2 linked regions of the Danio rerio genome follow. The protein of the gene in region 1 purifies or fractionates together with the protein of each later gene. This does not show direct contact. Links are inferred from orthologs where the notes say so. Each region holds a gene or a part of one and is shown on either strand. Other genes may lie near its edges.

Region 1 (5,559 bases):
GCTCGGCCGATGATCTTCAAGCTACTGCCAGCATTGATGACATCAGCGGTAACTTTGGTCGCTGATCGGACTATTAAACCATCATAATTCTTGGGGGAAAAGATTTAGGAAGTGTTATTACGTTTATCCCAAACTTTTAACACAAAAGCAGAATAACAACAGTAAAAGTGAAACATGCACTTAGTACTAGGCCTGTCATAATAATCAATATATTGACTTATTGTGCAAAACATGGACATGACCTCAATCAATTGTAGTGACGCAGTATATATCGTACATCATGTTTAGATAAAAATTCATATCTTAAACATTTTATCTGAATGTGCAGCTTATGTCATCTCATCTAATCTCCCCCGGAGGTCCCAGCGAGTTCAGAGAAACTTTTTTTTTTTTCAAACAATGTTTACTGATAGGTGAGGAAAAGGTGATTTTTCAAATTTGCCTGAAAACGTTTTAGGAGGTGTCCAAATGAGCTCTGTTTTAAATCTGCATTCCACTTCCAGAAAATTGACGATATAAAGAATAACTAACATTTTTACAAGAACATTTAAATGGCGTTTTTGTCCCTTTAATGTGTGCCTGACAACAATCTTGTCTTCAATCCCAGTTGTAAGAGCAACAAACAACAGCTTGACATCTAGTTGAACATTTGGAAAAGCTGAAACATCTGCTGAGCTGCATCCCAATCATCACAAATACTGCAGAAGACCTACTGGAATCCGCAGAGACCCAAGATTCTCACAGAAGTCAGTCAAGTTTGGAGAAGGAAAAATCATGGTTTGGGGTTACATTCAGTATGTAGGTGTGCGATGCAAAGTGGATGGCAACATCAATAGCCTGAGGTATCCCTTTCCCATACTTCAGCCTCCACATCAAAGTTCCTGAAAACAAAGGTCAAGGTGCTGCAGGATTGGCCAGCCCAGTCACCAGATACGAACAATATTGAGCATGTCTAGGGTAAGATGGAGGAGGCATTGAAGATAAATCCAAAGAATCTTGATGAACTCTGGGAGTCTTGCAAGAATGCTTTCTTTGCCATTCCAGATGACTTTATTAATAAGTGATTTGAGTCACTGCAGAGATGTATGGATGCAGTCCTCCAAGCTCATGGGAGTCAGACACAATATTCATTCTGTCTCCACTGCATGACTTTATATTCTAGACTGGACATTATTTCTGTTAAGTGAAAAGACTTTTGTCTAAGCAAAGTCAGACCTTACTGTCCTAATTAAATCATTAAAAATCAAGATATGATCATATTTCATTTTGGTAAAATAAGTGTAATCTAGAGGCCTTTGTCTTTCATTTAACCCACTTCTGATACCAAATGATCAACTAGAAGTCAAGTTATTATTTATAAGTTATTATTACTCATTGTTCCTAAAACTTGGATAGGCGACAAGACTTTTGTCAGGTAGTGTATAACATATAAAAGCAGGTATGAATCTTAAAATGACAGTAATATCACTTATTGCAATAATTTCTACAGCATCACGCAACAAATATTACTCATCATGACAGGCCTACTTAGTACTGTCCATGCTTTCGGAACTAAAAATCTAGTGTGTGTATATAAAAACAAATTGCATGCATGCAACATCCCATTCTCGTCTCAAATACACATTTCAAGAGGGACTTTATATACAAAGAAAGCAAATTAAATGCAAGTAAAGTGTCTACTTTATTACATTTATACTGTTTTTAGAAACTATTGTTGACAAACAAGTAAAAATAATAGTTGCTTGAAGTATTGTGGCATTTAAAAATCATAATTAATTAGTATTAAGACGCCAAAATTCAAATAAATGAAATAATTTTTATTAGACATTTAAATGATTGCCTGGGTGACCATTTTCTTAGCTCTAGAATCCAACAGGTTAAAATGGGAGGTTTTATTTCAGATAAAATATGCGCTTCAGCTGGAGCTCCCCAGGGTTGTGTTATTATTTATTGTATATACAAATTCTTGTATGAGTTCACTTAAATCAAAGATACAGTATATTGTAAAGTATGCAGATGACACTGCTTTGGCGAGCCTTTTAAATGAAGAGGCGGATGAACATGGGCCTGTTTTTGACTTCTTTTCAGACTGGTGTGAAAAACCAAATCTTATAAATATTTCTAAAACCAGTAGATGGTTATTGATTTTTGAGAGTGAGCACAAAGCCAAACTCACCTCACATTAATTAATGGGGAGTACATTCAGTTAGTAACATATTATATAAATTTGGGTGTGATGTTGGACAATAAACTTAAATGGGACATATGGACTGACCGTATAGGCTAAAAGCTTCAACAGAGAATATACTTCTATTGTCTTTTAATGTTGACAACACATTGTATAGTGCTTTTATCCAAAGTATTGATAAAACTAAAAGAGTATTGATAGTATATACAAAGAAAGAGTTTTCATACATACATACATACATACATACATACATACATACATACAATTGAAGTCAGAAATATTAGCCCCCCCTGAATTACTAGACCCCGTTTTTTTTTTTGTTTTTTTTCTCCAATTTCTGTTAGGTGAAGAGTAAATGAATAGTATTTGACTATAGATATTCACTTCTACACAGCTTAAAGTGACATTTAAAGGCTTAACTTGGTTAATTAGGTTACCTAGGCAGGATGGGGTAATTAGGCAAGTTATTGTATAACAATGGTTTGTTCTGTAGACTATCAGGAAAAATACATAGCTTAAAGGGGCTAATAATATTGTCCTTAAAATGGTGTTTAAAATTATTAACTGCTTTTATTCCAGCCGAAATAAAACAAATAAGACTTTCTCCAGAGGAAAAAATATTATCAGACATACTGTGAAAATTTCCTTGCTCTGTTAAACATCCTTTGGGAAATATTTTTTGTTATATATTTTTAAATATATATATATATATATATATATATATATATATATATATATATATATATATATATATATATTTTTTTTTTTTTTTTTATATATATTTATATATACAGCGGACATAATTTTTTTTGAAAAACAAAAGTAAAAGTAATTTTTGTTTGTTTTGATGCTTGAAAACCAGTTTTAATGTTTGTTTAATAAGTTTACATCATAATCAGGGGGGGAAGTGTTCTGCCAAGTAAATGATACATGCTAAAAATAAAAAATTAGGGAGTCTATATGCACAAATATAGTGAATATCAGCACAAATAAATATATAAATCTGAAGGTAATGTAATAATTAAACAGCAAATGCAGAAGTGAAAACTAATTCAAACAGTAAAAAACATCGGCAACTGCAAACTGATTGTCTACCTAATATATAATAAAACCATTAGTAGAGAATCGATTGAAATGATTCATATGGTGCAGATAGAGGCTGCTGTTGCATCAGACTCTTGGAGAGGAGGAGGAGGAGGGGTGACAGTCATACAAAAACTTCAGCACATCCAACAAACACACATAATTATATACATCTCATAAAATGCTGATTTTCCTGTTGCAGGACGCCATTCACTGGCAGCGATTCAAACTTGATAATACTTTAGAGGCAATGTGAATCACTTACCCGAATCTCTGCAATCAACTCTTCTTTAGTCATCTGCTGCTTCTCCGTCACCTCAATGCCATTTTCCTGGAGAACACTTTTACAGCAGGGATCGACGCTTTCACTGATTAAAACGCGTTTGACTGATATAGGAGCCATTATTATCGTGGACTTGCGGACTCGACTCTCGCTTCAAATGAATGATCGCGTGCGCGCGCGCCGCTGATTTTCGTAACGCTTTTTTCAATAAAAGAGAAACTCCGCCCAACCGCGCCTCCCAAAAAAAAACTCCCCCCCTGCCTCTGTGAAACAGAAGTAACACTGATGTGCCAGTGTTTTATGGCTCACAAGAAAGGAAAGACAGCTTTTAGCCCCTTCAGACCTGAATTATGATCCAAATTTTAGAGAAGATGTTTGGGGATGGGATGTTAGGAAAGACTTTAGGATGTAAAATGTTTGCTGTGTTTACATGATTGTGTAACTTGTAGTAACATGCAACTTGAAAAACTAAGAAATAAATTGTAAACAACTAAAAAAAAGGAAATGTAAAAGTACATTTACACTGTTTTTAAAGCAGCTGTACTCTAAAAACATTACAAACATGAAATTAACCATACAATAGTTAAGATGGCTGATTACTTGAAGTTTCTTTTGAAGTCTCTTAAATATAAAGAAGTCGCCACAGCGGAATGAACCGCCAATTTATCCAGCAAATGTTTTACGCAGCAGACACCTATTCAGCTGCAATCCATCACTAGGAAACACCCATACACTCCCTTTCACACACATACACTACGGACAATTTAGCTTACCAAATTCACCCATTGTGCATGTCTTTGTACTTGTGGGGGAAACTGGAGCACCTGGAGGAAACCGGGGAGAACATGCAAACTCCAACTGACCCAGCTGAGGCTCAAACCATGCAACCTTCTTGCTGTGAGGCAACTGTGGTACCCACTGCCCACTGTACATTCTAATAGACATTAAAAAAAGTTCACCCAGAACAAAATGATCATTTATTCACCCTTATTGCTTGTTTCCTCACAAAAGAAGACACAGTTGCACTGAAAAGTTTACACACCCTTTGAAGAATTTGTTAAAATGTGAATAATTTGAACAAAATAAGAGAGATCATACAAAATCTTGCTATTTTTTTTATTTACTACTGTCCCAAGTAAGATATTTTACATAAAATATGTTTACATAGAGTACACTACACAAAAATATAGCTGAAATTATTAACATCACCCCCTGCAAAAGTTTGTATTTTCAATACAGCGTGGCTTCCTGATGATCTACCAGTGCTTTGTGATGGTTGTTCATGACTCTCTTGTCTGTTCCGAACAATTAAACTGTCTGCTGCTCTTCCTCAATCTCCTTAATCTCTTGCAGATTCTTCAGCTTCCCAGCATCTTCTGCAGATTTGAACCCTTTTCAGCAGTGGCTGTGTGACTGTGAGATCCATCTTTTCACACTGAGGTTGATTGAGGGACTCAAACACAACTGTTAGAAAAGGTTTAAACCCTAACTGATGCTCCAGAGGGAAACACAAGGCATTAAGATGTGGGGGGGGGGAACTTTTAGAATCTGAAAATCAAGGTAAATCGCACTTAATTTGTGAACCAGGATGAATCCTAATATTTTCTGTCATTTTCAAAGGGCGGTGCTAAATGAAGGAAAACAAGATATTTCAACAAAATTAGAAAAAACTAATATCTTCATCCTGTTTAAAAGTTTTCACCACCCCCCTCAGCTCTTATTCTATCTGCTTGATTCTCATGTCTTTTAAGTATATGCATCACACAATTGCTCATTATTTGAGAATAAATGTGAATATAGGATTAAAAGAAGGTTATAATGGGTCAGCTGGACTAATTCTTTACACAAGCCCCAGCATCTGATCAATTACAGAGCACATGACAGAGCTTATACTATTACCATGTCCATCCCCAAGTATTTTAAAATATTATTTATGTATTGTTTACGGCAACAAGACAGTTAAAAGAAAAGCATAAAAAATTGGATGGCAGAAATTTGTGTGTTA
Region 2 (3,913 bases), on another chromosome or scaffold:
GGCAGGATGGATCATGCTTTCATGTTGTTAACGCCAAATTCTGACCCCACCATCCGAATGTCGCAGCAGAAATGGAGTCTCGTCAGAGCAGGCAACATTTCCAATATTCTATTGTTCAATTTTGGTGAGCCTGTGCGAATTGTAGCCTCAGTTTCCTGTTCTTAGCTGACAGGAGCGGCACCCAGTGTTGTCTTCTGCTACTGTAGCCCATCCGCCTCAAGGTTGGACGTGTTGTGCATTCAGAGATGCTCTTCTGCATACCTCGGTTGTAACGAGTGGTTATTTAAGTTACTGTTGCATTTCTATCATCTTGAACCACTCCGGCCATTCTCCTCTGACATCAACAAGGAACTGCCGCTCACTGGATATTTTCTCTTTTTTTGGACCATTCTCTGTAAAGCACAGGTGTCAAACTCATTTCCGAAAGGGCCGCAGTTCTGCACAGTTTAGTTCCAACCCTAATTAAACACACCTGATCAAACTAATTGAGTCCTTCAGGCTTGTTTGAAACCTACAGGTAAGTGTGTTGGAGCAGGGTTGGAACTAAACTGTGCAGGGCTTCGGCCCTCCAGCAATTGAGTTTGACACCCCTGCTGTAAACCCTAGAGATGGTTGTGCGCTCAATCAACCATGCCACGTTCAGTCACTTAAATCATCTTTCTTCTCCATTCTGATGCTCGGTTTGAACTGCAGCAGATCATCTTGATGCCTAAATGCTTGCTGCCATATAATTGGCTGATTTGAAATTTGCATTAACGAGCAGTTGGACAGGTGTACCTAATAAGGTAGCCTGTGAGTGTATTATGACAATATATTTGTGTATTATGAAATAATGAATTCTATTGCTTATTACATGTTGTCACATAGCAATTAATTAAAAGAACAATTAAAGGAAATACTAATGATTTTAAAGCAAATCAATGCAACAAAATAGGCTTGGACAATTTTGTTTTGTGGATTTTTATTTTATTTCTTAAATTCCTTTTGATTTTTTTTCTCCATTTTATTTTTTTTATGTGAATGTTCACAGTCAACACCACACACTTTTTGACCATAGCCAATATTAGAGAAATATCTCTAAAATGTTCATATATATTTATATTTATATATATAAAATAATTTGAAAGTAAATAAAGGATAACAGCATGGATCGTATCATTCAGTCCCCATTTTTATAATCTGATTTCACAAAATCATTCAGACAATTTTCAGTTTCAAAAGCGTTAACACTTTCCTGTTTTCTGTGTGAATGTAGAAGGACAAAGGTGCTGAAGTGAAATGCAAAGACAAGCGCTGTTTCTCAAGTGAACAGGTGTTGAATTAATGCTTCGATTTTCTTTCTTTTTTTTCACGACTGCAAAAATAAGTGGCTGAAAATTAGGACTCTTATAAAGACAATGCTGATTACCCCATCAAAAGCAAAGCAGTGGGCCAAGTGAAACACTGGACATGTCAAACACTCTCTCACATAAACACACTCACTCCTCATGTGTGTATGAACCATGCGGTATGGACTGAAATGTTGCAGGCCAGAGACCGAGCAGGCATCTGTTTCAATGGCAATTTCCAGTGCGATTTTCCTTGGTTTAATCGTTTCCAGGAGTCAGAGACATACGATTAAAATAAATTACACAAGATTACACATTAAATTAAATTAAAAGTAATACATCTATCAAATGATTTTTACTAGAGTTGTGAATAAAACGGACAGCCGAATCCTTCTGAATCCATTCAGGGCCAGTCCGTCAGACATCCTTCATGCGCTCTTTCTTTAGAGGGCCACCGGCTCTTCCATCATCAATGAAAGGAGGGGGGGGAGAAATCAGGGTGTGTGATTAAGTTCATTAGTGGCTTGTTTTCCTCCTCCCATTTCTTCATATTCCTGATTCTGAGCAACAACAATCATCTTAATAATATAACAATATTAACAGCCTGCATTCATTGAATGAACCCACCAATCATCCATGTCTGTCAAAGAAACCAAAACTCAATAGGGAAATAAATAGACTTCAAATACTGTCAAATAAAACGGGGGAAATAAAAGAACAAAACAAAACTGAAATGCTGTTTGTGACAGAAAAGAACACGTTGTTGTTTTTACTTTTCATTAAATATAGAGATGAACACACATTTGTTTTTGTTGAACACAAACTGTTTGTGTTGGTAGGGCAGGTTCGGATTGGTTGTTGAGTGCACAGGGCCAGTGGGATTGGTGAAATCTCTCAAAGAAGGAAAGGATTGGTGCTTGTGCCTGTGGTTCCACCTCCCATGGATCCCCCTGTTCCCATTACTCCGCCCACTCCTGATGGCCCGCCCAAAATCAGTGAAGGCTGCGCAGGTCCTCCTGGACCCATCAGCAAGGGGTTTCCTCCTGGACCCATAGGGGATATTCCACCGTAAGGCATGCCCATTCCCATGCTTAAACCGGGGGCCGCCATAGGGACCCCCATTCCTGGCATGCCCATTCCTGGCTGAACCATTCCTACTACTGGCGGAGGCATGTGACCCAGCATGGGATTTGGGGGAACGGGGCTTGTACGCAGCTGGTTCAGACCAAGTGAAGAGGGTTGAGGGGAGATTGATGCCATTGGGGTCGCGCCAAAAGGATTAGAAGCAGAAGGTGGGGTCGGAGATACTCCTCTACTTGAAATGGTACTTCCTGGGGTAACTCCCATACCTGTTGAGGAAGGCCCTAATGGAGGAAAGAAAGATGTTAGAGGGAAAAGCAAACAAACACAATTTCTATTCAATTGTTTTAAAAACACACCCTGTGTCTGGAGGAAGGGGTTGTTAGATGTGGAGGAGATGCTTGGTGGGGGTGGTTGTTTTGGTTTGGGTTTTGATGATACTAGCGAGTCCAAATCCACCAGTGCTGCGTTGGGCCCCAAAAATGACTCTGGTGTTTTCCGAACAGGCAAAGAGCTACCAATCGATGAAAGGTCAAAGGGCACAGGAGAGCCTGTGCTGCCACCTCCTCCTGCATCACATGTCACTGAGGAACCTCTTCTCTCTGGATCTGCTGTGTGTGGGGGGAAATGGCAAAAAACAATTACAGGCAAACAGCATATTTGTTTAACTGAGGTGGGGTTACAGTCCAAACAATCCTTTGCTAAACCCTACATTATTACCCACAATAGATTCAACTGTATCAAAGCACCTAAAACTGAAATAAGATCTGAATAATTATGTATATGATCAAAATTCTGCCTCCGAGCTACTTTAGTAGTAGTGCTAAGCTACTTTAGCCTTTCTTTTGAGGTTGTACTTGTGGGCACAGAGGCCACTCACAGGCAGTGTTGGGGTAACACGATATAAGTAACGAATATTGCGTAATAATATTACTTTTTAAAAGTAACAAGCAAATTATTAAGTAATCAAATTATTTGAGTTACTTTCAGAAAAATGTAACGCGAGTTACTTTTTACCTTGCTTAATTGGCTTTTACGAATTATACTGCGGAGAAAAAACTACCTTAGGTTGAATCACACTCAATCAGAGAGTGAGCTGCGAGGGAACAGACTGTCTGCTCGTACTCATCATCACCAGGTCTCTTATTCACAGCAGATGATTCAGAGTACTGTTCTAGTAACTGAATTACTCAGCATATTGGATTATTTTGAGTCAGAGAGGGTATCTGGTGCGTTAAAACGTAAGTAATTAAGTACTTACTGAAAACGCAAACCGTTTCACGACAACTCAGATCAATTTAATGAACTGATTCAGTTCACTTGGAAGATCTGGTTAAAACAAATGATTCATTCGCAAATCGCCCTTCATCACTACAGGCAATTAAAAATAGAAACAATGGCAGGCCGGAGTTAATTAAAAATATAATAACACTAATACTGAAATGGTTAAGACGTTTTAGAACGACCAAAACATTTCAGCTGTTTTTTTACTTGTTTTATTTTTT

What was found. The genes of interacting proteins can lie anywhere in the genome.
Region 2: the proteins of phgdh (region 1) and epn1a purify together in Homo sapiens (affinity purification with mass spectrometry; 3 studies listed by BioGRID and IntAct, with this or other methods). This does not show direct contact. The link is inferred for Danio rerio from reciprocal best matches to the Homo sapiens genes PHGDH and EPN1.

Annotation. Positions count from the first base shown.
Region 1 is NC_133184.1:50,067,288-50,072,846, forward strand, and holds the start of phgdh (D-3-phosphoglycerate dehydrogenase), read right to left. Parts: upstream 3,740-5,559; 5' UTR 3,675-3,739; coding exon 3,537-3,674; intron 90-3,536; coding exon 1-89. UniProt on the Homo sapiens protein: Catalyzes the reversible oxidation of 3-phospho-D-glycerate to 3-phosphonooxypyruvate, the first step of the phosphorylated L-serine biosynthesis pathway.
Region 2 is NC_133191.1:13,118,577-13,122,489, reverse strand, and holds the end of epn1a (epsin-1), read right to left. Parts: intron 3,020-3,913; coding exon 2,768-3,019; intron 2,693-2,767; coding exon 2,223-2,692; 3' UTR 1,154-2,222; downstream 1-1,153. UniProt on the Homo sapiens protein: Binds to membranes enriched in phosphatidylinositol 4,5-bisphosphate (PtdIns(4,5)P2). Modifies membrane curvature and facilitates the formation of clathrin-coated invaginations. Regulates receptor-mediated endocytosis.